Linked DNA regions of Struthio camelus. The protein of the gene in region 1 interacts with the protein of each later gene in a pairwise test. Links are inferred from orthologs where the notes say so. Each region holds a gene or a part of one and is shown on either strand. Other genes may lie near its edges. The genes, in order: CNKSR1 and CYTH3.

What was found.
Region 2: the proteins of CNKSR1 (region 1) and CYTH3 interact in binary tests that used the Homo sapiens proteins (3 or more experiments, as listed by UniProt). The two-hybrid records come from large-scale screens. The link is inferred for Struthio camelus from reciprocal best matches to the Homo sapiens genes CNKSR1 and CYTH3.

Annotation. Positions count from the first base shown.
Region 1 is NC_090964.1:7,134,967-7,149,924, reverse strand, and holds the start of CNKSR1 (connector enhancer of kinase suppressor of ras 1), read left to right. Parts: upstream 1-7,936; 5' UTR 7,937-7,951; coding exon 7,952-8,003; intron 8,004-8,405; coding exon 8,406-8,590; intron 8,591-8,715; coding exon 8,716-8,918; intron 8,919-9,041; coding exon 9,042-9,126; intron 9,127-9,540; coding exon 9,541-9,582; intron 9,583-9,666; coding exon 9,667-9,786; intron 9,787-9,863; coding exon 9,864-9,923; intron 9,924-10,214; coding exon 10,215-10,283; intron 10,284-10,446; coding exon 10,447-10,566; intron 10,567-10,711; coding exon 10,712-10,791; intron 10,792-11,364; coding exon 11,365-11,480; intron 11,481-11,594; coding exon 11,595-11,728; intron 11,729-11,980; coding exon 11,981-12,011; intron 12,012-12,149; coding exon 12,150-12,322; intron 12,323-12,457; coding exon 12,458-12,531; intron 12,532-12,936; coding exon 12,937-13,008; intron 13,009-13,136; coding exon 13,137-13,210; intron 13,211-13,568; coding exon 13,569-13,633; intron 13,634-13,711; coding exon 13,712-13,826; intron 13,827-14,115; and 4 more. Other genes in the region: protein FAM110D, read left to right, coding at 1-45; C23H1orf232 (uncharacterized protein C1orf232 homolog), read right to left, coding at 941-1,211, 1,509-1,606, 1,694-1,771, 1,861-1,935; ZNF593 (zinc finger protein 593), read left to right, coding at 3,036-3,232, 3,521-3,583, 3,821-3,962. UniProt on the Homo sapiens protein: May function as an adapter protein or regulator of Ras signaling pathways.
Region 2 is NC_090956.1:9,137,267-9,152,312, reverse strand, and holds the start of CYTH3 (cytohesin-3), read left to right. Parts: upstream 1-8,704; coding exon 8,705-8,821; intron 8,822-9,503; coding exon 9,504-9,568; intron 9,569-9,987; coding exon 9,988-10,054; intron 10,055-14,326; coding exon 14,327-14,445; intron 14,446-15,046. UniProt on the Homo sapiens protein: Promotes guanine-nucleotide exchange on ARF1 and ARF6. Promotes the activation of ARF factors through replacement of GDP with GTP. Plays a role in the epithelial polarization.

The DNA.
Region 1 (14,958 bases):
GGCTGCCAGCGAGCCTGGGCGGCCGCCAAGGAGTCCACCGTCTGAGGGGCCTTGGCGGAGGGAGAGGCGACCCGACCGGCGACGGGGAGACCCCGGCCGGCCCCGTGCCGGCTGCATACGGCCCGCGGTGCCGGATGGACGTGGCGCCGGCGGCGGCCGTGCCAGGCCGCGGCTGGCCGGGAGAGCCAGCAGGTCTACCCATGGGGAAACTGAGGCACTGCGGGCTGGCCCCCGTTGGCCACATGGTTTCATGCCCTTGGAGACCGGTCTGAGCCCGGAAAGGGCTGCGTTTTGGGGGGTGTGGATGCTCGGAGGAGTGTGATGGGGGTGTCCGGGGGAGGAAGGGTTTCCCCCCCGCCAGGTCCTCCTTCGGCCTCTCCTCGGCGCTCCCCAGCTCCTGCGGAGGGTGGCGGGAGAGGGCAGCAGCCCCGGCGTCGTGGAGCCAGGCCCGGTCCGGGGGGGCGGGCAGAGCCCGAGCCCCCGCTGCGGGCAGCGCCCGCCCGGCCCCCGCTTCCCGCCGGGCTCACCGGATCCGAAGGGGAAAGGGCTGCGCGGGACCGGGGCAATGCTCAATAAACCCGGCTGTGTTTTTAGCCCGGCTGCGTATGCGGTTTGTGCCGGGCGCGGGGGCAGCTCCCCGGCCCCCCGGAGGGGCGGCCGCGGGCAGGGCTGAAGAAAGCTCGACGCGGCGGTGGGAAAAAGGGGCAGCTCGAGGTCTTTAGTGCAGACACCTCCAGGCAGGCAGAGACCGGCCAAAACTCACTGCAAACGCCCGCCGCGGAGTTACCCGGCTCCCTTATCCGAGGGGGTAGAAACAGCGTCGGGGAAGGGGGGCAGGCCGGGTCCGGAGCAGGCGGCAACGCGGGAGCCGGGGGTGCCGGGGCAGCGCTGCAGCGGCCGCCCGCGCTGCTGCAGAAAGTCCTTCCGGGCGGCTCCTGCTCTAGTCGCCCTTGGGAGCATTTTTATTCCGGATCTCGGCAAGTTTGTCGGCCAGGAAACCCCAGCCGAAGGCCCCTTCCTCGGGCTGGCGCAGGTCGGCGGCCGGGCCGGGGCGGGAGCCGCCGTCGCCCGCGAAGTCGCCGGGCTCCCCGGGGCTCTCGCCCGGCTCCGGCTCATCCGACGCCGCAGGCTGCTGCCACTTGGAAGCGAAGAGGTCCCAAAAGCCGGGTGCCTTGGCGGGGGGCAGCTCGGCCGGCGAGGCGGACAGCGGGCTGGGGAGACAGCGGGGGGACGGTCGGCGCTTGGGGAGCCGGGGCCGGAGAAGGGCGCCGGGACCCGACTGCCTCCGGCTGCTGGGGGGTGATGGCGGAGACCCCTCTCTCCCCCCCCCCGCCGTCCCCCTGCTCCAGCCCTCGAGCCCTCCCAGCAAAGCTTCCCCAACCCGTCGGGTTTCGGAGCCCGCGGGATGGACGCATGGATTAAGGAGCAACGCGGAGCCGGTGGCGGCAGGGGGTTTGGGGAGGGGGGGGGTTCATTGGGGGGGGGGCGGCGTGTTGGATCCCACTTACCGGTCGGCGCCGGGCTCCGGGCTGAGCAGCCGGCGTCCGTCCTCGCGGCCGAACAGGGCCGAGAGCGTCTGCCAGCCCCTGGCTCCCGCGCCCTGCACCTGCGGACGAGGCATGGCGCCACTCACCCGGCCCGCGGCCCCCCCCGGGGCGCCCGCCCCGGCCCACCGCCCCCCGGCCGCCCTCACCTTGCGCGCCAGCTGGGCCACGGGGCCGGCTGCCTCCTCCGGCGGCTCGGCCGCCTCCATCCGCTGCGGGGGCTCTGCCTGAAACGCAGAGGCAAAGTCAGAGGGGTTTTTTTTGGGGGGGGGGTCTGACCCCGCTTTGGGGTCCCCGCGCGGCCCCGCCGCCCTACCTCTTCGTCCGTCCGCTCGCCGCTCAGCGTCTGCAGCGCTTTGGACTTGTAGAGCCTCCAGAAGGCCTGAGTCATGGTGATGGGCTCAGGCGCCGGCCGCTCGCCCAGGTGCCGGGCAGCCCCCGTGTGCCTGTTCCCGGGCCGGGCTGCCCCCCCCCCCCCCCACTCCGTGGGGCTGGCGTGGGGGGCAGCGGGGTCACGGGCCTCCCCCCCTCCCCAGGGATCCGGTGTCGTCATTAAAATTTTAGGGGCTGCCTCGGCTGCACAAAGAGTAACCCAAGCCGGGCCGGGTGCCGGGGGGGGGTGGGTGGGCAGAGCGAGGGCAGCTGCTCCGGCCCCCCCCAAACCTCCCACCCTGGCCCCCGACCACCCCCCCCTCCCGGCACCCCAGGGCCCCTCGCCCAGCGGGGTGCCCCGTCCCCCCGGGGCCGGTGCCCGGCCGCAGCGCGGGCGCTGGGGGCACGGCGCTGCCCCCTCCCCGCTGCACCCCGGCTCCCCATCTATTATTGATTCCCCGGGGCGGGCGGTAAGGCGATCGCTGGGGGCCGGCGGGTCGGCGCGGCTCCTCTGCCCGGGGCTCCGCGGGGGCACCCGATAAGCGCCGCGGCCGCTCCGGGACCCCTTGGCCCCGGCTCCTGCAGGGCCCGGCCTGCTGAGCCCTGGCCAGCTCGTCGCAGCAGTGGTTGGAGCAGGGCCGGCCCCGGCATCACCCCTGGCCTCGAGGGCTGCAGCAGGGTGACAGCGGCAGGGTGACAGCCGCCACCAGCGGCCGGTCCCACCCCGAGCGCCCCAAACCGTCCCCGAGGTGATGCCGCGCTTCGAGCAGGCCACGCCGCCCCGGTGCGGGGCCAAAGCCCAGGGGGAGCCGGGGGGTTTCGGGGGGACGCGGCCCTCCCGGGGGTCGGCCACGCCGCAGGGTGCAAGCGCCAGGGCCGGGGGGGGGGGACCAAGCGGGGCCGGGCAGGGCCGGGGTTTGGGGCCCGGCTCCCCCACCCCCCCCCCCAGCGCGGCGGGTCGCGGGGCACCGAGTCCCGCGTGGGGCCGCGCCGGGGGCGGGGCCTGGAGGGGTGGGCGGGGCCTGCCGCCGCAGGGGGCGGGGCCTGCCGCCTTCCCCTCTCTCCTTGCGGTGCGGCGCGCTGACGTCATCAGCGGGCGCCGCCGCCGCCGCCGCCATCATGTCGCCGCGGAGCAGCCGGCGCACGGGCGCCCACCGCGCCCGCTCCCTGGGCCGCCAGGGCAAGGCGAAGCGGCGCCGCCGGGACCTGGACGAGATCCACGCGGATCTCAGGCCCGAGGTGGCCGCCAGGCTGCTGCGGCAGGAGCCCGACCCCGACCTGCCGGGCTGCGCCCAGTTCTACTGCCTGCACTGCGCGTGCGTCACGGGCCGGGGGGGGGTAACGGCCGAAACGGATAACGGCCGCGGGGGGTGGGGGGGGCCGGTCTGGGGCAGGGGTCGCTCTAACCCCGGTAGTTTGTCCCGGGAAGGGATGGAGGCCGCCCCAAGACGGGGTGGGCTGGTAGTGGGGGGGCTGCCGCTGGGGCCCGGGCAGCGGCTGCCTCACGCGAGGGCCCCTCAGAGGCGGCTGGGCTTGGCTGTCGCTCCCTGTCCCCCGCCCCGCTCCTGCCTCGGGCTCCTCTCACCCTCAGTCTCTCCCTGCAGGCGCTACTTCGTAGATCTGACCAGCATGAAGGAGCACTTCAGGTCCAAGGTGCACAAGAAAAGGTAAGTGTGGGGGGGGGCTTCTGTGGCACTGTGAGCCGCCCGTGTGGGTCCTCGTGCCATCCCCGGAGCTGCGCCTGTAGCCACAGGGCTCTGCCCTGTCTCCAGCTTTGGCAGGGTGAGGCTGGTGGTGTCAGTTCTGGGCCAGTTTGTACAGGAGTTTGGCTTGTTTTAAGGAGATTCAGGTGAACATCAGAACTCACATGGGTGGTTTAACAGTAATTTCTGCCTTCTTTTCAGGTTGAAACAGCTGAGCGAGGAGCCGTACACGCAGGAGGAGGCAGAGAGAGCGGCTGGAATGGGATCCTACATCCCCCCAAAGAAGGTAGAAGTACATACCCAACCGATCGATGAAGAAATCGAGATGGAGGCGTCCAGCTGAGTGCAGCGGACTAGAGGGCCAGGGCTGCCCTTATTACAGTGCTGCAAAAAAGGTGTTTTGTTACTGAGCCCTGTGAGGAAAACGAGCTCTCTTCCAGCCTCCCAGCAACGAAGCAACAGTTTTCCTGGCAGCTTTCCTTGCTGAAGAGCTAATGAGGAGAAGGCAGCCAGAGAGACCTTGGATGCCCTCGTTGGGGAGGGCGCTTGTGTACTATGTGCCTGACAGCAGACTGTGTTCCCCTTCCTGGGGAAGGGACAAGCAGCAGCTTGGTGTAAATGTTATATGGCTGTGCACTCATCTCTCTGGTTTTAGAGCAATTTTAGATACTTCTCCTTGGGTTAGAGGTTGACACCTCTAAGTCACCCATTAAAGTATGTTAATCAACAGGCTGGCAGTGTTGAATGCAGAATTCTTTGCTAGTGTGGTCCAGGCTCTGGCTTGGAGCAGTGCTGAGGTAGTGGGGACAGCTGCCCTTCTGGATTGAGGGTAGTCTCTCGATTTTAAACTTTTCCTGAACCTTGGAAGTGAAATATTCCCAGAGTGCCTATCAGTTTGTAGGAATGGCCTCGTCACAGTTCTCCTGCCCTGACAGGAAGGTAAAGCTCCCTCTGGTTTGTCTTCCGGTGAGGGGGATCCTAACGCGTTGGTGGAAGGTGCAGCACAGGAGCTTCTTTTGGGGGACTGTGTGCTGGAACGAACTGCTCTTCAAGCCCTTGGGTCTATCGCAAGCAGCTTTTTGTGTTTCTGGCCCTGCCTGATTTGAGCTCCCAGAGTGGGCCCTGATCCCCTGTGCGCTTTGAGGGGCAGGCGCTAATGTGTTCCCAGCAGGGACACCTCCGGGCTTCTGCCCACTAAAACGCAGTGCCTGGTGAGTGGTTTCATACCCCCAGAGAGCAGCGGCATGGGGCCGCGCACCCAGTGTGATCCAGTGCCTACCGCGTATCCCCCAGCCCAGTGCTGTTCTGTTCCTGCGCAGGGATCCTGCTTCAGCCGCCCAGGCTGTCGGGTGCTCCCGCCCCTGCTAGGGCAGCGCCTCCCTGCTCGGCCTCTCTCTGCTATGCGACTCCAATGTTTGCAACGCTTCCGTGTTGCAATGGCACTGACTGCCGTAAATTCCTGCAGAACAGGTTTGACTGATACAACTGTGGCACTAAAACAACAGATGAAAGGTTTGTCCCCCCTGCTGAGCCACAGGAGGAGGGAGCGCTCAGCTGTAGCAGCAGAAAGGCAGCGAGACAGTGCAGCTTTGCTCAGAAGGAAAAGATTTATTTGCATGCAGACTGACCAGATTTCTTCCCCCCAGGGTTATCGAGGCAATTAAACCTAGTTCTCTAGTTGGTATCTAAACACTCTCTGCTAGGGGCAGCTTTGCTCCATGCAGCAGCTCGGAGCAGTGTGGGGTTTGGTGTGCAAGAGGGAGAGGTGGGAAGGTCCTGGTGGGGAGATGGGGCATCTGCCCCCTGCTCGCAGGCAGCAATTCTCCGATGGGAGCCAACCCTGTGTCCTCGTTTCCACTCCCAGCCTCTTGCTCGGAGGCTGATCTTGGTCCCAGCCCTCCCAGCTCTGTTGTTATCTAACAGCGCTTTGCGCTGACCTCTTTTCTGCCGGCTGGTGACGTGGGGCTGCTGGCTGAGCCGCCCGGGGAGGGAGGAGCGGCTGTTAATTGGAGCTGGCCTGACTGCAGAGGCAGCACGTTCCCCTGCGCCGGTTCGGGGAGGGAGCCCTGTGCGGCTGCCAGCGAGGCGCAAGGGCTGCGTGGGCCCCTCTCCCGGGAGCAGGGTGGGGAGAGGGGGGCCAATGCCTCACCCAGGCCCTCCTTTCCATGCGTCTCTGTTCACTGAGGCTCGGTTGTCTCATGGTGGCAGGATCCTGGCTTCTCGGCAGCGGCTCAGTTTAGGGCTCAGCTTGCCACTGCCTGAAATTGGGTCCCTGGGCTGCGCCTGGCAGCTCTTGAGCTGGAAGGTGACCCTGGCTGCCAGCTCGCAGCGTCGGTTTGTGTTGTTGGGGAATCGGAGTCAGAATCGGGTTGGCTTTTCCATCCTTTGTCCTAGCTCCCAAAAGGGGGACAAACGTGTCCCCTCAGCTCCAGGGCAACAAAAGGCCAAGGCAGGGAGGGGAAGGGCAGGATGCAGCGTAAGCGGGCTACGAAGGGGCTATGAGGCGAGAGTGAGTCAGGAGACGCATCCGGCAGCTCCCCGTAGCCAGGGCTTGGTGAGCGGAGCGGGTCCGGCAGCTCCCGTGCCACCAGCTTGGGGCTCGGCTGGAGAGAGCGGGGAGGGGTGCGATGTCGCTGGAGCCCGGGACTGTTCCCTGGGCCAGGCAGCGCCCGCCAGCTCCCCGGCCTCACGGCTCCGGGGAGGCTTTGGCGGGGCCGGCCATCCGCCGGGCGCTGTAGTAGGAGAGGCTCAGCCCCACGGCGGCCAGCAGCAGGGCCAGGTGATTCACCAGCCGGTCCCTCGGCTCAGCCTCCCGCCACCCTGCCAGCTGCATCTGCGGGAGGAGAGGAGAGCGCTGCGAGACCCGAAACCACCCCGGGGACGGGACTCGGTGGCCCTGGGAGCGGGGACAGGCCCTGCTCCGCTCCGGCACGCGCTGGGCTAGCCCGGGGGCTGCGCGAAGACACGCGTCTCCGGGTACGCTGACCACGGCCGTGCCCTGAATGTCCTGGCTGCGCCCAGAAGAAACGCGGAGGGATTTAAGGGAGAAAGATGCAGTTTAGCCAGGGGCGCGAGGGTGCTCTCGGGCTGGGCTTTCTGCCCGCTCGCTGGGCTCTGCCTTCGGTGGCAGCACCCAACGCTGCACCCTCGCAGGCAGCTCCAGCCCTCTTTGGGGCCGGGAGCTGGGGTACGGCCGGGCATCGCTCGCGGCGGCAGACAGGGCTCGCGGGCAGCACGGTGCCGGGGGGTCCCCACGTGCCCAGCCCCAGCCCAGCTCGACCCTTACCTGGAGCAGGCGAAAATACCCCGGGGTTAAGCGTCTCGGGCGGATGATCATGGTGCGGCGGGGAAGGGCGATGGGCAGCTGCGGGAGGAAGAGGAGAGCGGCGAGGCAGGAGGAAAGGCCCGCGGCTGGCATGGCCCCGCACGGAGATCAGCTGGATCGGGGGCCCCCCGGCTCCGTCGTCCGGGAACGGGGTCGGGCCGCGCGTGGCCCCGGCAGTGGGACCCCCCCTGCCGCCGAGTCCCTACCATGGGTCCAGCCCTGACCCGAGCCGCGGCCGGGGGCCGCCAGCCCTGCGCCCTGGCTCCGAAATCGCCGTGCGGCCGCCCAGCGCGGCGCGGCCGCCCATCAGCAGCTGTCAGCAGCGATCAGCGCGCGCTGCTCCCCCAAGCGCACGGCCGGGCGAGGGGGGGACGGCCCCGCCAAGGCACCTTCCGGGAGAGGCCAGCTCCCGGCCAGCCAGAGCGGGGTCTGGGGCTCGGCGGAGCTGGCCGCGGGGCCCCGGCGTGTGCCGCCCTGTGCCTCGGTTTCCCCACCTGCGAAGGAAGGGGGGGGGGAAATCGCCCCCGGCGGGGGTCCCACCCTGGGAGCTGACGGCCTTCCCCTCCGTGCTGCCTGCCTGGGGGAAACCAAGGCACGGCGGGCCGGGAGCTGGGGGGAGGCGCGTGCCCGCGGCCCTCCGTCTCCCACCCGGCAGCGCAGGACGTGGCCGCAGACACCGTCCCCGGCGGTTCAGGCCCAGCGCGGGGGGGAAATAAGTCAGCGGGGCCGCAGGGAGGAGAGCGGGCCGGGGAAACTGAGGCAGCGCGCGTCGGCGCTCGCCCCGCAGCGGGGAAACCGAGGCCCGGGTGCCGGGGCGGGGGGGGGTCTCGGTGGGCCGGGGCTCTCCCCGCTCCGTCGGGGCCGGAGGGGCGAGCGGAGCAGGCCGGGGTGGGGGATGCTGGGCGGCGGGGGCGGGCTGCGCGGCGGAGTGGCGGCCGGGCGCACCAATCGGGCCGCCCTTACCTGGCGCAGGTGTGCCGGCTGCCGCCGGGGCCGCGGCGGCGGCCATGGAGCCCGTCGGCACCTGGAGCCCCGCGCAGGCGGCCGCCTGGCTCCGAGGTGAGCGGCCCCCGGCCGGGCCACCGCCGTCCCCCACCCCGGCGGGGACCTGGGGGCGGCTGCGGGGAGGCAGCGAAGGGGACGGTGGTGGGGGGACGTGCCTGCTGGGGGGGGGGTCACGGCGCTGGCCCTTCTCACCCCCCGGAGCGAGTGGGGCGCGCGGGGTGCCGCTTCCCAACCTTGGGGGGGGGCCTCGTGCCCCCCCCCCCAACGCTGCAGCCGGGCTGCGGTGCCGGATGGGCTGAGACCCGGCAGACTCATTCCACGGTGAGGCGGTGCCCAGCATCCGGCTCGCCCCGGCTGCGCCCGCGGGGATTTACCGCCGCTCCCGCCAGCGTCACCCGGCGAAGGGGCCGTCGGGGCGGGGGGACCCGCGGTGTGTCCCCCCTGCCGCCCCGTCAGCTCCAGGGCAACGCGTCCCCGGGGCAGGCCTGGACGCGGCGGTGCAGGGGTACCCCTTCGAGGCCTGGGGGCTGGCCGGGGCCGAGGTGCTGCGGCTGTCGGCGGGCGCGCTGGAGGCGCTGGGCGTGCGGCGCGTGGGCCACCAGGAGCTGCTGCTGGAGGCCGTGGAGCAGCTGCGGGCGCTGGTGAGTGCCGCCGGCCCCCGCTCTCCCCGGGGCGTCCCCGCTCTCCCGCGCCGGGGCCGGATGCGGGCAGCATCCTCGAGCATCGCCCGCTTCCCTGCCGCCCCGGCGCCTCTCTCCTGCGCCAGGACGAGGAGCTGGCGAGCACCAGCCTGCGGACGCTGGCGGAGAAGCTGCGGGCGCTGGCGGGCCGGGCGCAGGCCCTGGTGCTGGGCGAGCAGCCCGCCGGGGCGGGCGCCGGGGCCGAGCCGCGGCCGCCCTCCCTCGACCTGCTGGCCTGCGTCGTCGAGCTCGTCGGGGCCGCCAAGGAGCTCTTCTCGTGGCTCAACAGGTCGGGGCCGGGAGGGCGGGCAGCCCTTTGCACCGTCGCTGGCCCCCCTGGGGCACCCAGGGGTGCTGGGCACCCTCCGCTCGGCCCTGATCCGTCTGTCTGTCTCCCTCTCGTGCCCTCCAGGTACCTCTTCTCCACCCTGAACGACTACTCGGCCAGCCGCGACATCGTCTTCCTCTGCACCGAGCTGGCGGAGGCGCTGCAGGAGGTGAGTGCCGCGGGCGGCTGCCCTGCCCTGAGGCCCCGGTGATGGGCATGAGCCGGGCTTTCCCGAATCCGAAGCCTGTGTGTGCTGGAGGCAGCCGTGCAAGCGCCAGGGCTCCCAGCGTTATGGGGGATGCGGCACAGGGGGTCGCAGGGCCCGTCCCCCCCTGCCCCAGGAGCCTGGTTTTCCCGCGGGGACCCTGGCTGGGACGGTGCCGGCAGGGCCCAGACTGCGCCGGGAGAGCGGCTCCGGTGGGGTCCGGGGAGGAGGAAGAGGAGACCTGGCGATCTCTCACCCTGCTGGTGTTGGGGGGGCTTCGGCTACCTGTAGGGACCCCCAGGCCGGACCCCTTGGGTGCTGTCTGGAGCCAGCGCTGCCTGCGGTGGCCCTTGTGCTCAGCCCCTTGCCTCCTCCTAGGACTGCCCAGCGGCCGAGAGGGATGGCCGGATCCTGACGATCGTAAGTGCTGGCCGGGGGCAGCCGGGGGGGGGGGGGGCTGGCAGCACCGTCGCCCCCCGCTCAGCCTGGTTCTGTCGCCCCCAGTGCCAGCACATCGTGGGCATCTGCGAGAGCATCGTGGGCTGCAGCCCCGGGCAGCTGCTGGACCGCACGGCCGTGCTGCAGCGCGTGGGGCTGGCGCCGGCTCTGCCCACCGCCACGCTGGTGAGTGCCCTGGTGGCCCCGGCCCCGGATCTGCCCGCCGCCCCGCTCACGGCTCCCTTCCCCGTCCCCCTCCGCAGGACCTGGAGATCACATCCACCAGCTCCGGCCTGCACTTCGTATCTGGGACCCCCTCGGAGGTGAGTTGGGCGCTGCTGAGCCCGTGCAACTCGTCTCACGAGTGAGCACAGGCCAGGCTGCAGCGGGAACCCCGCTCCGCGCCGTGTTTCCACCAGCCCCTGGGCTCCCTCCTGCCGGCCGCCCGGCATGGCCCAAAAGGTCAGGCCGGCTGGTTAATGTTTAAGCCGGGCTTTGCAAAGCCCCGCTGCTTTCCCCCAGCCGCAGCTCAGCTGGCGGTGCGAGCGCCTCGGGCGCTTCGCGGGGGGCAGCCACCGCGGCGCCCCATCCCGCTGCCTCCCCTCTGCCCCCAGGCGCTGGCCGTGCGCGGCCCCCCCATCCTGCCCGGGGACGAGATCGTGCAGGTCAACGAGCAGGTCGTGGTGAGTGCGGCGGAGTCCGTCTCCCGGAGCGGCTGCTTTGCGGGATGCAGGGATGCATCCCCGGAGGAGCTGCTGGCAACGTGTCCTCTGCACGGCGGGGGGACGGGGGGCGAGCGCAGGGCAGGCGGCCGCTGGTCCCACCGGTGGCCGGTGCCCTTTGCAGGTGGGCTGGACGCCCGTGAACCTGGCAAAGAAGCTGCTGGAGAAGCCGAGCGGGGCCACGCTGGTGCTGAAGAAGGTGCCCCCCAGCCTGCCCGGCTCCCCCCAGGCTGCCAGGCAGCAGGTGAGCGATCCCAGTGCCCCTAGTAGAGCCCCAGCGCCAGACTGGGCAGCAGCGGGAGGTAGGCAGGGGTGCTGGGAGCATCTCAAAGCCCCGGGGCACCGTCCCCAAGCGGGACGTGGGCTGGGAGTGACGCACTGCCCCGCAGGCAGCCCGCTCGGATGCGGCGGATCCCGCCGGCGCCAGGAGCAGCGAGCGCCCCGGCAGCCCCGCGTCGCTGAGCTCCAGGTGAGCCCCGGGCCTGGTGCCCCGCGCGCCCCGGCCCTGCGCAGCCAGCGGGTGTTCGGGAGCATCCGCTCCGCCCGGGGTGGAAAACGCGGGCTGGGAGCACCGCGACGGAGAGTAACGTTCACGCGAGCGTCCCCGGAAGCTGCCGAGAGTCTTAAGGCCAAAACAAAAAAAAAAAAAAAAGAGGCTCTGTTTGCAATTAAGTCACTTGGTAACATTTAAATAGGAGTTGCAACTATATTTAGAACTGACCCTTCTCCTCTCCCGGAATGGAAAGGCGTTTGCAGAGCCGTTGCCTGCTGCTGGCGCGTCCGGCCGAGGCAAAGGGGCCGAGGCCAGGCTGGAGGCGCCAGGCTGTGCCTTGATCTCCCTGTTGGGGCAAAAAAGCAGAGGGGCTGGTTTAGCCGGTGCCTCGTCTCTCCTCCACGTCGCCGCTTTCCCTCCTCCCCTGCTTTTCCGGGGAGAGAGAAACGCCTGCGCCCGGGCGAGCGGCGCGGGACCTGGTGCTGGCACCTCCGGCGCGGCCGCGGGACCGGCCCCGACAGGAGGGATATTTGTCCCTTCTCCCCGCAGCGTGGCTGCCGACTGGGAATCGGGACCCGACTCGGCGCCGGACCCCGCCACCGACGAGGAGGACGAGCGAGCCGCCAGCCTGCCCGGGGACCTCCTGCAGGGACTGCTCGCGGACGGTAGGGAGCGGGGTGGGGTGGGGGACGGCGTCTGGAGAAAAAGCAGTTGCTCCGTCGGGGATACGGATGGGTCCCGCGGAGCGGAGATACAGCCGCTCGGCTGCCGGGCCGCAGGAGGCTGGGGCGCTCCGGGCTCGCTCGCCGCAGGTGCCTCGGAGGACGCGGCGCCAGGGAGCAGCACGCCGCCGGGCGCCCTCACCGCCGCCGGCCCCGTGGACCTCGGCCCCCCGGCGGCCCCCGGGAGTGAGGTGAGACCCGGGGGGTCTCGGGCAGGGCTGGGGGTGGGAACAGGACGGGTGTCGCGTGCAGCCCGAGCGGCGAGGCAGAAGCCTCGTGCCGGGGGGCTGAACTCGCTGCCGCAGGGTTTGCAAAGCAGCCAGACGAGGAGGACCCTCCGTGGGCGGCAGGCGCAGCTCGGGGTGGGGGTCTCGGCTGCACTCCCCCCCACCTCCCCGCCTGCCCGCTCATCTCTAACCGCTCGTCTCCACCTCTCCACCCAGGGCAGCCCCGAGACGCGCCGCAGGCCCAAAGGTGAGCTCCTCAGATCCCCCGACGTGCTGCGTGGCCCCGCCGCGGCAGGGGTGGCCGCCCCCCGTCCCCGGGAAGACGGCGGAGCACGGGCCGGGGCTGCCCGCGGGCGCTGGGCACCACCTCCTCTGCCTCCCGCAGGAGTGGCGACCAGGCTGAGCCGCCGGCGGGTCTCGTGCCGGGACCTGGGCCGGGTGGACTGCGATGGCTGGCTCCTGAAGAAGAAGGACCACGTGGGCTTCATGGCCCAGAAGTGGAAGCGGTGCTGGTTTGTGCTGAAAGGCCACACGCTCTACTGGTACAACCATCCCAATGTGAGTGGAGCCCACCGGGTGACCTCGCTCCCGGGGCCAGACCCCGGGCGGCTGGGAGAGGAGCGTGGGGCCAGCCAGGCTCTCCAAGCCGGTGAGCAGTGGACGGTGGTGGACCTTGCTGTGTTTCCCCTGCAGGATGAGAAGGCCGTGGGTCTCATCAACGTGGCCACCTACGATCTGGAGAGCACACGGGAGCAGAAGAAGAAATAGTGAGTGGGTGTTGATGCCATCATCTTGGCTGTCTCGCCACAGACCTCCCCATGGCGGTGCGGGTGGGACGCTCTCCGAAGGGCACGTGCCGGCAAATCCTGCTGGGTGCCACCTGCCCGTCCCAGCACAGCGCTGGAGGGGGTCGCGGCTGTGCTGGCAGGACCGGCTATGCTGTGGCGTGGGATGTGCGTTGTGTTTCTGGTGGTATCTGGGATGTGGCCGACAGTAGTATCCAGAGCATCTCCGATGTCAGGGAAAAGCCTGACCCAAGCCTGCAGGCTGGATTGGGAGCAGGAAGGCTGCCAGCATGGGGGAGGCTAGATGGGGGCTTAGGGTTGCCTATGGTCGTGGGTGACCCTGGAGAAGCAGCAGTGAACGCAGCTGCCCCCTCACCCTTCTTGCAGTGTTTTCCAGCTCTCCCACGAGAAGTACAAGCCCTTCATCTTCGCCGCAGAAACGCTGGCTGATCTGAGCATGTGAGTAATGCCCAGGCCGGTCCTGCCACAGACGCAGCCCAGAAACACAATCCCGTGGTTTGCAGTGGCTCAGGCCACAGCGGGGAGCGGGCTGGCTGTGACCATCCATACATCTGTCTTTTCTCAAGGTGGGTCAGTCACCTGATAACAGCCAAAACGAAGTACACGTTGGCCCACCAGTCGGTCCCGCACAGGGAGGAAGGTAAGTGCAGCCTTTTCCAGGACAGTCCAGGAGGTGGGAGAAGGGGTCGGTTCCCCCCAGGGGAGATGGGGAGCCTGCAGGGAGCTGTGGGGCTGCAAGGACCCAGGGTGTCCACATGGCAGCGATGCCTCATGGATGGGTTCCTGCGTGGGAGCACTAAGAGCTTTGCCCATGTCCTGAGGGAAAACCATGGGAACTGCCTCTCCCGGCAAGGAGAGGTTGAGGGGAGGGATGGGGTATGGGATGATGCTTAAGCTGGGAGGGCTGGAGGGGCAGCCTGGCCTCTGCCCCTCTGGGGGCACCAGGCCGTGGTTTCCTGCTGCCCTCCGGACTCACCATCCTCCCTCATTGCCTCCAGACTGCTACAGCGAGACCGAAGCCGAGGACCCAGATGACGACTCTCCCAGGCCCAGCTGTCACTCTGTAAGTGGCCCTGTGGGAAAGGGGACATCCTGAGGAGGGGAGATCCTTGTCTCACCTCCTGCCCCATCTCTCCTCCAGCCAAAGAGGAGGCTGCAAAATGCCCCGGAGAAAGCCCAGCTCTTCCTGGCCACCGGCGAACCCAGCAGTGCAGTCAGCAGCCCCCAGGGCAGCCACCAGTCCCACTTGCCCATGGGTAGGTGCTCGAAGTGCTCGGGGTGGTCTGTGCCCTGTGCTGGATGGAGCCCCATCTCCATTAACCAAGCTCATGGCCACCTTTTGTCTGCATGTGGTGGTGGGAGAGGTTAATCCAAGTCCTTGCAGGCCTGTTGGGACATATCTTAGGGTGTCTTCACCCTCATTTTGATCTATGGCCCAGTCTCCCCTTTGGATTTGGGATGCTCTTGGGACAGGGTTGCATGCAGGGCAACCCTGCGGGTGTTCAGGGCTGTTCGTATGCTGTGGTGCCCCCTCTCGCCACCTAGACTCTGAGGAGGAGGACCTCGAGAGCCTGATGCAGTGCCTGAAGCAGGGGGGAGTGTCCCTCATCGGGCGGCAGCGGTTTCTGACGGAGGAGCAGTACCGCAAATCCTTCATCAAGCGCAACAAGAACCCCCTCATCAACGAGAAGGTGCACCTGGTGCGGGCCCTGCAGAGCACACTCAAGGTGGGAGCCCCTGGTCCTCTCCGGCCCTTGCCCTGGGCTGTGCTCAGCATCCCCCAAATCTCCTTTCCTCTCTGCAGGCAAAGCTCACGGAGCTGCAGGTCCTGGAGCAGCTGCTCAACGATGTCACGCTCACCTCAGAGAAGTTCACGTGCTGGAAGGAAGAGCACCAGGACCTGTACCAGGAGCTGCGGGAGTGGTGGGTGCGTCAGCAGGGCCAGGACTTTGATGCGGGGCTCGGTGCTGAGCCCAGGCCACCGCAGGAGGCGGCTGAACCATGACACCCCACAAGAGCTGCTGGTCCTTCGCTGGACCTCTCCAGCACAGATCTCTCCCATTAGAAAACACGGTGCTGCCGGAGCAAAGAGGATGCTCTGCCTGTCCTGGCTGGTCCCACGGCATGGGATGGGTGGTGGTGGGGGGGGGATTTACATCATTTTTGAAGGCAGAGATGTGAGCATGGACTTTCTGTGTGAGAAGTGGCTTCTGCTACATCTCCACACGTTGGAGCGGGACATCGCTGTGACAGCGCGGAGTCTCGCTTTCTTCAAGGACGCTTTGCCTTGGCTCCACATTGGCAACGAGGGCCTTTTCCTGGAGGAACGTGGCCCTGGTGCCCCCGACTCGCGGGCCAGCATGGTGCCTGCAGCTGGCCAGGCCTGGG
Region 2 (15,046 bases), on another chromosome or scaffold:
TTAGCGCTTGCTCTGCAAGTTATTAACGTTTGTCTCACGTTACTCTGATGTTCCTATTTGCTCTTTTGAAAGAGCAATAGGATGTTAAGATGATAGTATCAGTAACAGCTGTAACACTAATCATAATGGTGATTCACAAGATTTCTTAAATGGTAGAATTTGTTAATGGATGCTAATGATGTATTTCTTGTATCTGTGCAAATATCTTTACAAACCTACCCTGAAACGTGTAGCTCCTGTGTTGTAGCCAACTTCCTCCTTTATAGTTTCCACAGTAGTCAGTGTAAAATTTTTCTGCTCTTAAAAAATTCATGTCCATGCATATTTTAACGCTTTATATTATTAATGCCAGTATTAATTTATTTGGGTAAGAGACTTAGAATGTTAGGTTAAACTCAGCTTTCTTTTCATAGTCAGTAATTTGTATTTACATATTTTAAAAAGAAAAGTTGGCCTAGAAGCATCTTCTGATCTTGAAGCAGGAGTAGAGTGACTTCAAAAGAAAAACGCTCCTAAAAGGAATTCCACACGTATCTATTTTTAATATCAGGTTGAACTACTTCTAGGATTTAGCGAATATAGCCTTTAAGGGAAGTGTTTCAGGGCTGAACTAAGCCAGTTTTGTGGCTGGCTAGCATTGAGAGGGTTCCTACCCGCCCCTGTACCTTCCTGCTGGCCAGGGCTTCCTGCCGCGCCTGGTGCATTGGCTTGGCCGCTTCTGCCATTCCCTTCGTGAAACAATTTGGCTTGCTAAACTGGCAGAAAACGAACCCAGGAAAGAATGATCCAGGCAGGATCGTATATCCAGGAGCAGCGCGTAGCAACGCGATGCAGGGACGTAAAGGGAGCAGGTACCAGCATGCTGTGCGCCAGGCTACCCAGCTAGCGAAACATTGCTCAGAGCTGGTTGCTGCATGTTTCTATTTCTTTCTCCCAAGTGCTCCTTTCTTTACTTGGAGGTAGTTCTTTTTACTTTTATTTTATTTTATTTTTTTGCAGAGCACTTGGTTTCCTAATGGAAATGCATCTAAAAGTGAAATAAGATATGTTGTTGACTAGAAGATGTAAGGGAGGTAAATGTAAGGTAATTGCAGTCTTCGCTACTGCCTGTTCATAAAAGTAAGAGAGCATGCATGGTAAAAGCAAATACTCATTAACTTAAACACACTCTGTTTTCAAATAGCAGATATCTGTGTCAATCGCATAATTAGGAACTAAAAAGTTAGATGTCTCTTAAGTTGTTTCTAAGGGTATATCTATATAGGTGCAGATCTGAAATCTGATATAAAATTCTGCCTGCTTGTGCTTTAGTGCAGCTAAGAAGGGCAGCTAATAGGTAGCACCGAGGGCTAGTAGTTCAGACTGAGACCTGTGACAAGCCTTTATACTCTTTTCTTCCACTTCTACGCAGCTTTTGTTGCTCATATTATGTACTTACATAGTTTGTAAAGACATATGCTACAGCTGTAGTTTTACTGCATGCTCCTGTTCCATTAAGGTCAAGAAATGCATTTGTCATGGCTTATTCTTTATAACCATAAGCATATGTATGGATAACTTACTGCATTTGTGAAATGCATGCATTTCATCACAGGCATTGGAAGTTTCATTTTGGGGTAGGCTTGCCTTTTGTCTGAAGTCAGTAAATTGTGCTTTAAAAATCTTTGCTGGTAGTTCTAATTTTTTTTGCTTACTTCATCTACCATCTTTGAACAGATCAAAAAATAAATCCTCTTGATCCGATTATAAACATTATGTCTTAATTTTAATACATTCGTTAATGGCTCTCACTGTGAGCTTTAGAGGGAAAGAAAAGACTGTCTTAATGAGACTAAGCCTATGGTACATCTACTCTAGTGTTTCGGTTTCAGCTTTAAACAATCTGTAAAAAATACATGCTATTCAGAAAACGTGGAGCAAAAAAATCATAAGTTAAGGATAATACCATATGAAATCAAAGCAAGGCAGCACTCGTGTGCGTGTGACAGGTGAAACCAAACGCTGATTTTGGAGGGCAGGTAGGTTTCATAAATTAGATCCTCTCCCCCTCCCTCCCCCCAGATGTGTCTTATCTGATTTTGCAGAACTTTGGAATTGCCTACTGTGTTTGACTAGGAATGCTAATAGAGATTAAATATTTTTTTTCCTCGGTCAGAATTCAGTCATTTACCTATTTGAAATCATTTTACAAAAAATGATTTCACATTTGGCAGTACCATGATCCTTCTGTCTCTTTTGTGGATAGAAAAGACATATTCATTTTTTTCCCACTTTTGTTCTTTCAGTAAAAGTGTTGAATATGAATAACTGGTATAATTAAATATGCTTTCATGTTGTAGTAGATTTAATATTAACTTAGGCTTTTTTTTTTTTTTAACATATTATTAGAAGTCCAAAAGGACAGGTATTTTTAAAATATCTTATGGTCCTAGAGTGAATAGTGTGTTTAGCAACATCTGGTAATGGTGGGTTGTCCCATAGTTAAACAGTTAATATGATGGGTGCCAGTCTGAGGTTCTCCAGTGGATTTTGCCACTAATGTGGCACTAGAGTCTGGTCGTAGAGCGTCCCTCCTGACTGAAAAGTCTCAAAATAACTTTGCAAGCCATGGTCCAGTCCTAAACTCCTCACTCCATGATAATTACCATTGCCATGAACTGGTAATTTTGTATTGGGAAGGATATTGTGTGCAGAATCATTTTCACTCTTAACTGAAATGTGATTGCTGCTATGCTAGAACATGTTCCGCAGTGTCTAAAAATCATAGAATAACGCAGTAAGGTGGTTAAGAAAACAACAAAATCTTGCTAGTTTTCCAAGATGAATTTAATGCAGATATGTTTTTTGTTCTCGCACAGTGAAGTAAATCTATTCAAGAGGATGTCCTCCTACAAAAACTTCTATGGAATTTTTTAATAGCCACAAGTGGTCGCAGCTTTGTTTATATGTCATGTCTAAAAGCTGGAAACTGTTCCTATGGTTAAGTTTAAAAAAGGGAGCATGTAGGGGGAAAGGAAAAGAGACTGGCCTGAGAATATCCGTTGAGACAAATGTCCTGATGTCCTGAGACAATCAGATTTGTTCTCAGAGATGAATGTGTATTTTTTTTTTTTTTTGAAGGCCTGAAGACTCTGCCGTACTCATTCTCTATGTGGGCAAGGATAGATTTGTTTTGTTTTAAACCTTGGGTTGTGTAAATATCTTTACACTTATAAGATGTTTCAGTTGCAGCTAAATTAAATCCCTTCCTGATCGTTCTTTGCTTGGAGCAGAAGCACAGATAGCTCCAATTTGAGGGTGACATGGCAAAAGGAAAATACTTATCTTTATGAAACCAAACAGTTAGTTGAATTATAAGAGTCAGGGAGTCATGTTGTTTCATGAATGGGGTTAGAGAATTAATGATTTATCTATTGTTAGATATTGTTAGATATTTTCTTTCTTCTAGTTATGAATTATTCTGCTGTCTTCTTGAGAGACTAAACTCTGGAATCAGTTGAAGTGGTGGAGTACGATTGCGTTATGTCTTGGCCAGTGAATGCAAATTGAAAGGCTAGTAAGTAAGAGTTGTTAAACATAGGAGTTCAGTTTTCTTGGTTCATATAATGTAATTGGAGAGGTGGAAACGATTTAACTTTCCCTCCTGAAGAAGGGATCAGAGATCTGGACTTGGAAAAGTACTAAATTTCCCTTTTTTAATTTTGGGATTTGCTCCCGATTTCCACTAACCTGTGGGCCTGTCTTTCCATGTTGATCTATTGCAGTCCTTTCCTGATCTGCAAAGGACTTTTTTTTTTTTCTTTTTGGGTGCCTGCTTGCCCCAAAACGCTGCATTTAGATAAATGGCTTTTACATAATGCTGAATTTATTTGCTTAATGCTTAACAAATAAATATGAAGAAAATACACTGAAATGTAGTAAAACAAAGCAAATGATGGTGTAGAGGAATTGTCAGGAAACAAGAATGTAAAGCATTGCATTTTGCAGTTGAATTTGTTCCCCCACCTTTTTTTTTTTTTTTTTTTTTAAATTTTGCTATACCTTAAATGTCAGCACCTAAGAAGCTAATTGATTCCAGTGCTTTTTAGTAGAGAGAAATAGATGCTTACTGTGTATTCATAAGCTTTAAGGGTTTTTGGTTAATATTCTTGTTTGGATACTGTACTTGTGTTGTCAGTAGTAGTAGCGAATTTATTTAAGAAAGTGACATCACAACTGCAGGACAAAACACTAATTACTATGGCAAACTACAGGTGTTTTTGGGTTTTTTTAGGTTTTTTGGTAACCCATTTACTGTAAACAAACCTGTATTAAATGTGCATATTCCAGTAAATGTTTGTTTAGAAGAAATACAATGAAATGCATTTAGATCAGTTACAGTAATTGAACAAAGATAGACCAAACTGGGGATATCTATTCAAATTTCGGTAACTTTTAGTAGTAACTATATATATGTGTGTGTGTGAGTGTGTGTATATATAGATATATAGATACATATATATGTGCTGTTGTGCGTTCTTCTGTTTTACTACTTGGCTAAGAGTATAATTTGTACTTTCAATAACTTTGTTCCTCTTTAATGAAAGATCAGTAACTAAATTGACTTCCTATTTAGTAGCAGCTGAAACGCTTTCCACGCGGGCTAAAAGGTTTGTCGCATGAATGAGTTGCGTTAGCAATAGAACATTCTTTTTATTTAAAGACTAGAAGACATCATGAAAGCATGGTGCACCCGCAGCTTGTTCGCTATGCTGTAACACTTTTCCCTCCAGAGGATCTTTGTTCCTTTTTGTTATTTAAATGTTCGTGCAGACTCCTCCTATCCTGTCTACTTTGTGTTTAGAGCTGGTGAACCGCAGAAAACTTGGAAGTGACTGAGAGAGGGCAGCTAGAAAACCTGTCTTATGGGACAAATGCGTAATGTGCGCTCTAGGAGCCCTTCTGTACGAAGGGTTATATGGACACAAGGTTAAACAACAAACTTGAGTATTTTAGCTATGGAAGAGTCAAAGTTGTTTAATGGAAGCAGTCTTGTCAGAGCGGATATTTGTGTCATGTACCTGCAATATTTGCTTATGACTGTAAGAAAGTTTTAATGCACTGCTGTTAAACTTTTGGCCATATTTGATCTTACGTTTGTTTTCAGCAGCTGTAAAATAAGTCTTTGTGTCAAACATCTCAATTGTGGGTTTTCAATTTTTTTTTTTGAATAAATAAAACGAACATGGTTTGCTGGCTCTCGCTGCGGTAGCTGCACGGCGGGTTGCAGAAGGCGCCTCAAACTGCCGTTGGATTGACCAATTGCTGTTTGAGTCTGGAACAGGTCTGATATCACTGAAGCAACATTTTATTTATTTAGAAGTAGAATGTAGGGTTTTTTCCTGTTTTCCATGTGTTTTTGAATCACTAGAGATCACTGAAAAGCAAAGAATAATTGAAGTGAAAAATGCAGAGTAGATTCTCGAGAGCAAAAAGTAATGTTAGTGGTGCCCTTCTTGCATGAGCAATGTTTTAAGCCACAGTTGAGCATCTTCTGCTGTTCCTTTCCTTCCAGGTAAGGTAAAAATACCTTACAGTGCTGATGTTTCAAAGCCCTTCACCGAAATACAGAAATACTGTTGTTGCATTTGTGTTTTAAGAAGGGGGATTGAAACATGGAGAAGGCAGTAGACATGGCTGAGGTCACACAGCCTCCTGGAGCAGAACCGTAAGGCCTCCGAAATTGCGGTCTGTGACAGCCCACGCAGCCTGTTAAGAAAGTTTTTGGGGAGGTGGGGGGGTTCACTTTCCGATGGATCCGTTTCCTCCTCAGCGCGAGCAGGAGCGCTGGAGAAGGGAGGCAGTGATGATAGGAGGGGGGTGAGCGCGTAGCAAACTCCCACGGTTGTCTGCACACACGGGCCAGTTTGGGGCGACGACAGGAGCTGCGCATCCTGCCAAGGAAGTGATCTGTCCTGCCAAGGAAGTGATCTGTCCTCGCTGGCTGCCGGGCTAAGGGGAAATAAAGCCCTGACTACAGCAGAAGCCCAAGCAGTACCCTAACGCTTACCCAGTTGTGTCCTGGCTCTTTATTCTTCTCAAGGGATATTAGCCTTTTTTGGCTTCGGTGTTAGGACTGCCATGTGACGGTGTTGTCCGGACGTGGCGTCGCCTCCAAGCGCTCTCTTTAGAACCGTCCCGCCAGCAGACAGCGCTCGTCTTGCTGCTGGCAGATAGATCCTCGATGCGACTTCCGAAGGCCAACGGCGGCGTGGCTCCGTTTAGTTTATTTCCTTCCTGTGTGACAATATCATTAATCATATCAGGAGGGTTATGTCTCTGTGGCTGCTGCGAACTGTCAGAGGAAATGGAAAAAAAAACCCAGGAGAGTGTCTGTGGGTGCTGTAGGAAAAGGACTGAAATGTTTTTATTTCTGTTCTTCGGTGGCTGTCTGGAGGGTAGACTGCTGTGGCGCCATTTGGGTTGGTTCCAAGGAGACGTTAACTTGTCCTAGGCGTCCCACACCCTTACCCCGGTGGGCTTCAGCTGCAGAGTGACTTGGAGAAAAGAAACCGCAGTAAGGGTGAGCGACGGCATCCTGCCGCCCAAAGAGCAGCTGCTGCAAAGATTTTTGTCACTTGATTGGAAGTAAAAATCGAGCACCGTCTATGGTTACTAACCATTTAATACTTAAAGGTTATTGTCTATTTAGGTTTGAATTTGTATTTCCAATTGCTAATGAAGATGAGATTTGCCAGACCGTCTGCTGTGACCAAAAGTTAAAAACCAACCCCCCCGCCCCCAACAAACAAACAAAAAGCCCCAAACACTTCCTAATACTGATACTGCAAAATCTAATCTAGTTGCGTCTACTGCAAAAGCGCTTTAGGGATACTGGAGCGTACTTCCCAGCTAAGAGGCTGAGTGCTTATACACGTCTTGCCACCTTAATAATCAGCTTCAGGTAACAGGCTTCGTATTTTGTTGTCAGGTCGTCAGGTAACTGGAACGACTGTGGTATCTGCGTGTACCTAGTGTGTGCGTAGTCAGGAAAATCTCTTGAGTTTGGCCAATGTAAAATCTTGGGCTGTACGTGTGAGACAAAGCTGTGATGTCTGGGGTAGGCAAATGTATTTGTAAGTTTTGCAAAAAGAATCGGTTAGTATTTGCATGAAAGAAATTTTTAGGAATGGGTAGGGTTCTGGGGAGATGAAGGGAAAAAGCAGGTAAACATATTCAAGTCTGGTATTCTTTCAACAAAAGACTTTATCATTTCCTAAGCTGGGAGTAATGTAATTACGTTTGTGTCTGGAAGAGTTAAATTAGATCATTTGGCATAATTACTTTGTGTTTAACAAGCTGTGTTGCCATTTGGATTTTATATTATGCTTAGACTCCTAGGAGGAAAGGAGGTTAATCACTGGCTGCCAGAAAGAATCGCTATATTTCACTGTTAAGATTTGAACAGAGGATACGTTTCAAATATATCTTTAAAAAAAATCCCATAAAACCTAAGTCTGAGCTCCTGATCCTGTTGCTAGAAGCTGCTAGACACGGGCATATGAGATAAAGAAACAACTTTGGCCTTTTTAAATGACTACGTACTTTTACATGTTTTTGTTGGTAAAGAATTTTATTTGTTTTACATATTCTGTTTTATCTAATCTTGAAGGAAAAGTTGTTCTGCAATTCTGGAGCAATTTCCAAGAGAGTGAGTCACATGAAAAACTATTATACTATGGGTTCGTTGCAAAGCAGGTGCATATTTTTGGTTGATATGGTAGTGCTGTGCAAGTGAGTGAGCGTAGTCTCTGTCCTATGAAGCCTCTTGCTAGGGAGAATGCAATTGCTTAATAAAAGCTGAGGTTTTTTGGAGCAACTTTTCATGTTTGCTTGTCAGATGCAGACAGTGGGGTAAGGGAGCTGCTGCTAGGGTGAGTGACAGCCGAAGCTGTGTACAGAAATGTGTTTGCATCTTCAGTAGCAAGTAATTTTTATCAACATGGTAGCATATTTGTTTTAGCATAGTCAAAAAGATATCTAAAATTGACTTAAATACTTCGGACTTATTTAAATGATATTATATGAAAACATAAGCTTGTGAGATGCTGTGCTAAATAACTAATTCCAACTGTTTGTTTATTTGTAATGTAGAAAGATGTCTATCCTGCTGATGGGAAGTAATCGCTGTTAAAGATGTTAGTAGTATTATACTTACAGGCATCTGCTGTACAAAGCAGTCAAATAAAAGGGTACTCCTGAAAATATGTTGTCGTCTGAAATCAGCACCAGGATGCGTGTCTTTGTAATGAGTTTTATGTAGCGTTACCTTTTTTCCTGAAAAGATAGTCAGGTGCATGTGTGTTAAATCATACTTAATTTACATGGAGAATTTTGGTCTGTTATTGAAACAATTGGAGTGATGCCAGACATGAATTTGGCAATGTAACTGTAGAGCCAAATCTGATGACCCATTATATGAGAACAGATTCCCTTTAATTGTCTGGCTTTCTTTGAAAGACAGATTCTTTCCATAGTCGTTCATTTAATTACCTAATTTATGATTTATAAAGTAGAATTTCAGTAAAGTGAGTATTCCGTTTTCTTTCTTTTTTTTCCTCTGAAAATAATCTTGACTAAAAAAAAAAAATGCCATGAAGTTGCCTGTAAACTTGCTTTTCTTAATCGACATAGTCTGATTTTCTTCTGTAAAGTGTGTTTGCAAATGGTGAAAGACTGTACTTTTTGCTGTATTTCAGTGCCTGATGACCTCTCCATAGAGGAAAGAGAAGAACTGCTAAATATTCGTCGCAGGAAAAAAGAACTGATTGATGATATTGAGGTAATTTATCTCTAAAAATTCTTACAGGACTGCTTCAGTAGATTAAGTTACAGTACACTGCAACACTTCCCTCTACCTAGTTATGAACTGCAGGTAATGTTTTCAAAAGCATCTAAATGGCTTAACCTAAATCTTACTAATTATCAAAAGGATTTATGCAGCATTTATGTTTTAAAAATGCTAATATCTGTATGTAATGTAACATGTGCATATGTAAATATTCTAGGTTAGTGTAATATCTCATATACAGTAGTTTTGTATTCAGGGTAGCAGTGAATGAGAAATCTGAGCAAAAAAAAATTATATTGAAATGGTTAATGTTTCTTGTAGTGGTAAAGAACATGAAATAATGTGACATTGAAGGTAAGCAGATGAATAATAGGTGTAAAATCTGTATTCAGAACAGAATCTGAAAAACAGCTTTCGGAAGAGGATTTTTTGATTGTGGTGTTCCGACCTGGGCACGCACTGGGAGTTAAGATCCACGTGTTTAACAGTGATTCAGCTGTGGTCAAATTAAAATCTTTAAGCTAAGAATCTCAGGAAGGTTCACTACTTTTCTTCAGATGACTAGTAAATATTAAAAAAAAAAAAAAACTAATTGATCATAACCGTATATGCTAGCCAATTTCAAAAAATGCTTTAATGTTGGTTGACTTACTTTACTTCCCTCTCTTGGCAGAGATTAAAATTTGAGATAGCCGAGGTTATGACAGAAATTGATAATCTGACTAGCGTAGAAGAAAGGTAAGTAATGCTAACGATATGGGAATGCTTCAGTAAGATGTTGGAACAGGTCTTTCAGGAACAGCAAATACAGATAGCTTTATTATGTTGAACAAACATTTGATCACCTTTTTTCACTCTGTTATAAGGTCTTATCCCATTCAGATGTGTCTTTGCTTTGGCTAGAAAGTGATAGATATATTGGATAGAGTGTGATCCTTTCAGCTGTTCTATTGATAATGATACAGCTCTAAAGCTGTGATCACTTAAAATAATTTAAAATTGTAACATATTTTTCCCCTTGTGAAAACTAAATGTCTCAGTTCTGTAATTGAAAATACAAAAGTAGCCAACGGTCAAGTTAAGAGGTTCGTCCAGAAATTATCTAAGAGCAAGGGATAATCTTTTTGTTTCTTCCTTTTCTTTTTCTCCATATGAAGCAAAGCTACGCAAAGAAATAAGCAAGTAGCTATGGGAAGGAAGAAATTCAACATGGATCCTAAGAAGGTAGAGCATGTGTTTTGTGTGGTGTTTTTTTTGTTTATTTGTTTGTTTTTTAACTTGTCAGGACTCAGGTTCCTGCTAGTGATGTGATTTGTGGCAAATATAGACTGTTTTCTTTAAGAAATCATGTCTGATAGCGTTAAATTCATAGGCCTTATTTGTCTATCCTTTAACATACTGAGCAGAGGGTTAAATTAGGTGCAGTCGTTTGGTCATTTGCCAGTCATGTATGCTTTTTTCACTCAAGCAGACTTTTTTTTGATAACAGAAAATATTATCAAAGGTCAAATATGCCAGGTATTGAGTTGGCTTGCAGAAAGATTATTTACACCTGATAGAGGTGTTTTGTATTGGTATGCTAAATGTAATTATGAAAATATTTTGAAGTTTGGTTACTAGCTAGGCCATATGTATTGTCTGCCCCCTATTTTTTGTTCTTTTAAGATATCGATAATGTTTTTCAAAATTTGTTCTCACATAGACTCTTATATTTGCTTATCTAAATTCTGTTTGTGAATAATGCATGTGTATAGATTTGTATGCTTATATATGCACGCGTGTTCACACATACATATATACGTACCTGTACCACTGGTAAGTAGCCGCAAGTGGATACTTGGTTATCAGTTTCAAGAAGGCTACTGTGCGTTAGCTGAAAGGTAAAGTAGTTCATTGCTCCGCTGAATAGCGGTTTTACCTTGAGAATTCCGTGACCTGCTCATTCTCTTGTAGACTTCCCTCTGATATATTACAAAAAAAAAAAGTGTTGCTTTGATATATTTGACTTGGTTTCCTAGATTTCCCCTTTAACCTTTACTTTTCATTTTGGAGCTTTCTTGCTTTATGTTTTACTGCCTTCTGTTGTTTTCATTAGGATTTCATTTTGAATTTCTGAAGGATCTTTAACAACTCTTTCAGAATTTTTTAATAAGCCTTTGTTTTCCTGTGTCTGTTCTTGACATGTTTTCTTTCCAAACGTATTTAATTCAGTTGTGTTTTGGTGGCTTTTCTGTGATGTTCCAAGTACAATAATGTCGACTGTTTTTTGGGGGCTATTTTCAACTTACCATAAGCACTCTAGTGTTTTGTGATACAGAACTTTTTTTAAGCCATTGACCATGTCTTTTATTTTTCTTGTCTGTTTTGGCGACTGTCTGACTTTGGTTCTGCTGAGGGCAGAATATCCTCAAATATCCTGATATGTTGTTTTCTCCAGCTCCTTTGCCTCCTAGAAGTTTGTGGTAAAATCACAGAATGATGTCAAATATTTTCGTTGCAATGTTAGCTGGTCTTTATTGGTGGGTGAAATTATTTCTATAAATAGATGCTGTGGCCACATTGCTCCTGTAACATAATTTAAATGTGGTGAATAGACTTACAGTAGTAATTCCTTAATGATGTCTGTGAAGCAGTGGTGGCCTGCAAGAGCTGGCTGCTCTAAAGCTGGATCATCTCTTTGTTAGCAACTGTTACTTTGAATTATAGGCAGCTAAAATATATGTCCTTCTGATGTTTGAGAGAATTAACTTGGAATCACTGTGGAAAAGGACTTTTTTTTTTTTTTTTCCTAAATGGGAGAGAAAATGGTCTCCATAGACAGGAATGTGAAAGAAATGGGATAACAATACGTGTGTTGAATTCCCCAAATTCTCTCCTTTAAAAACAAATAATAAAAAAGACATCTAACACATTCTCGTTGGCAAGAACATATAGAGCTAATTTCTCTATTTTTCTCAAATTTTATTTGAAGACCTTTAAATTTTCCAGCGCTTAATGCAGAGCGATTACTCCTCCTCTCTCCCCTCCAAAAAACCGCCTGTTTCGAGATCGCTGTGTTTAGTGTAGTTTCGTGAGGTAACATCACGTAACTAGTTGTTTGCGTTTGGATAGCTGGGGTGGCAAGGGCTATAACGACAAAGCCTGTGAAATGCTTCGAGGATCCCTGCACAGGGATCGTGCAGTTGTGCTTGAAATTCCCAGCGCTGGCAGTCAGTACGGTCTGGAAATGAATTCTCTATGATAAAGACAGGGTTTAAGCAACAGGAAAATGTCTAAGTAAATTACTGTAAAAACTATGAAATTCAAAGCAGATTTCACTGTGCTGACTCAGAAAACCTGTGCGACATTTTTAATGAATATTAAATATTTCTGTAAGCCTGGATTTTGTGTGGGAGGTGAAACTAACACAGATATCTCCCATCTAACATCTGTCTACAGAAAAAATTTACACGGAGTCAAAAGATAGTGTAGGAGTAGAGGGTGTTTTGGATAGCCTATTTTACCATTTATTCCAGGCAGTACAGTTGTTCTCCCAGACAAATTTCCTTTTCCTGCCTATCTACTTCATGGTTCCTTAGCATCCTAAAGAGAAGAGTTTAAAAAAAAAAAAAAGACAAAAAAAATCAATTTGTATCGTTAAGGTATCTGCTTCTCTGCAAAGAAATTTGTTTTCCATAATTGTAATCACTTCCATCATTTTTCTCAGTAACATGTATATTTCTTCATACCTTTGAAAAAACTATTCAGGTCAGTCTGCTTCACTAAACATGAATAATATGGTCCAGGTGTTGAAGAAGGCAGCCTGCAACTGCTGTGGCTGATGTTTGCTGGGAGGAAGGTGCTCTCTCAGTTGATAGAGCTGAGAAAAGTGTTTGAATAACTTGCTGTTGGAAAAAAAAAAAAAAATTACACTGCATTGTCAAATGAATTTTTTGGTACAAATATTCAGTTATGAAGTAAGCTTTGAAGTGATCGCTTCTGAGGAAGGCTCAGCTCTTTCTACTTCATGATAAACCGATGTTTTCTTTGCAACGCATTTGTGCCTGTTCTTTAATAACTTGTAAGAGTATTAGGTTGTGAGACTCAGAATGCCAGCCTGGCATTGAAATAAGTTTTCAGTTGATGATAAAATTGTTTTGAGAAAAGTAGAGTCCAGATTTTTTTTAACGCTTCAAGAGTAGTAACATCACAGTTTTTCTCTGCCAAAGTAGGTCAGAAAACTGACTTTTTTGTCAGGCAGGTGGTAGTTATAAAAAAACAGAAACAACCGACCAGAAGGATAGTTACTTTTTTGAGGGCTACTATAGACCCTTGTGCTTGCTCTGTCCAAAAATAATGGAAATTTTCAAAGTTGGAATGAGATTTTATATATATATATATATATATATAAATATATAAATATTCCATTTGCAATGAAAAAGTGAAAAAATTATTATTTCTGAAATTATCAAATGTTCTAATAGGAAAGGTTTGGAACAACTATTAAGCTTTTCTGTGCATATTCTGAATCCAAGACATTAAGTTTGCTTATAGCTGCTGCTTCTACTTTTTACTAGCATGCTGCTGACCCTTTAGTGAAATCAGCAGGAGTATTAACATCTTTGGGGTATGGGGTGAAAGAAAAGACAGACATCCCTTCATGACCTGCTGAGTTTTGGAATACTATATTTTCCGTCCTTTAAAAAAATCTTAGTATAACTTAGCCTCCTTTCTTTAGTGCTCTGCAGCAGGTTCTCTGGGCATCCCTAGAACGTGCCCGTTGCGGGGTCAGTAACTCACGGCAGGGCAGGGTTACAGGGGCTCGATCCAACACCACCACCTGGATGGTGGCGAAGCCTCTCCTCCTCACTTCAGCAGAAGCTCCGTGGCAGAAGCTCGACTGGTTTCATGGACACTCCTTTGCGAATAGCTCGGTTGAAGCGCAGCCAGAAGTCGGTGACAATGCCGGTGTCAGCAGTAACCATAATCTCTTTAAACCGGTTTCAGTATCTTCAGCCACAACTCCTACTGCAAGTAGGGGCTTGATGTATTGGGTTGCTGATTGCAAATTATAACAGATGCTTTATTTTGTGTCATAGTGGTAATTAAGTTATTCCTGTATACCTCTTCATTATTATGATCTTGCAGATTATGACTTGGCACACATTTGAGCAATAGGGTGAACAGACTAATTTGCACATTAATGCAATATGAAGTCATTACTTTAATAATACTTGTTATTTCTATCGTTGAGGAATTTTAAATTGCCACGTAGTACTTCTGGCCTTAAAAATGCATTCTTATTTGAATCTGTAAATTCATACTAAATGTTGTTTGTCTAACTGAAAACATTCTTTTGTTTACTATTCTTTTTAATCTGCAGACTAATCTAATTCACAGTATGAGAAATATATGTCTGTGTCAACATATTTGTGCCAAATGTCATGAGCAATATGTACATAAGTGTTTGTGGAAGAAAACATAACGTTCCTTTTCCTCTGGAATTGCTCTTCCTAGGGGATACAGTTTCTGATAGAAAATGACCTCCTGCAGAACACTGCAGAAGACATTGCACAATTCCTTTATAAAGGAGAAGGATTAAATAAAACGGTAATTGGAGATTACCTTGGTGAAAGGTAAATAAAAATATTTAAAATTTGTTCTTGTGTTTACAAAGTACATTTAGGGATTTTTTGAAAGTTACCTTCCCCTTCACAGGCCACAGGAGCTGGCTAGTACTCGGAGATCTATAAAAGCTATATTGGGAAGTAAAACTACTACCCTATTATGATGGATTTTGTTTCCATTTGGTTCTTGTTTGTTTTAAATGGATAAATTATTTCATAATGTATTGTTTAATTCACTGTAACTTGCTGTTTTGAGAAAGTACTCTTAAATTTGGCTATAGTGAAGAATTTAATACCAAAAGCTTTTGGAATGTCTGAGAGTTGTATTGCAACGTTTCTGGTAGCTCCTGAGGCCTTGTCCAGACAAGGGATGCCTTGTCCAGACAAGGAATGCCTTACAATTGCTAGTAATAGTTATTAAAATTGACAGTACTGTGCCAGTGGTTGTAAGCGGGTTGTAGTGTTGCCTTCCCTGCACACAGATTTCCCGTAACGTTGCTGGGCGGTAAGTAGGTATCTCACAGGGCAGCCGCACCGTAGCTCTATCAATTCTAGTGCAATAAACGTGCCAGTTTACTTCCGTGGCTGAGCAGCCGAGGAGCTGATCTTG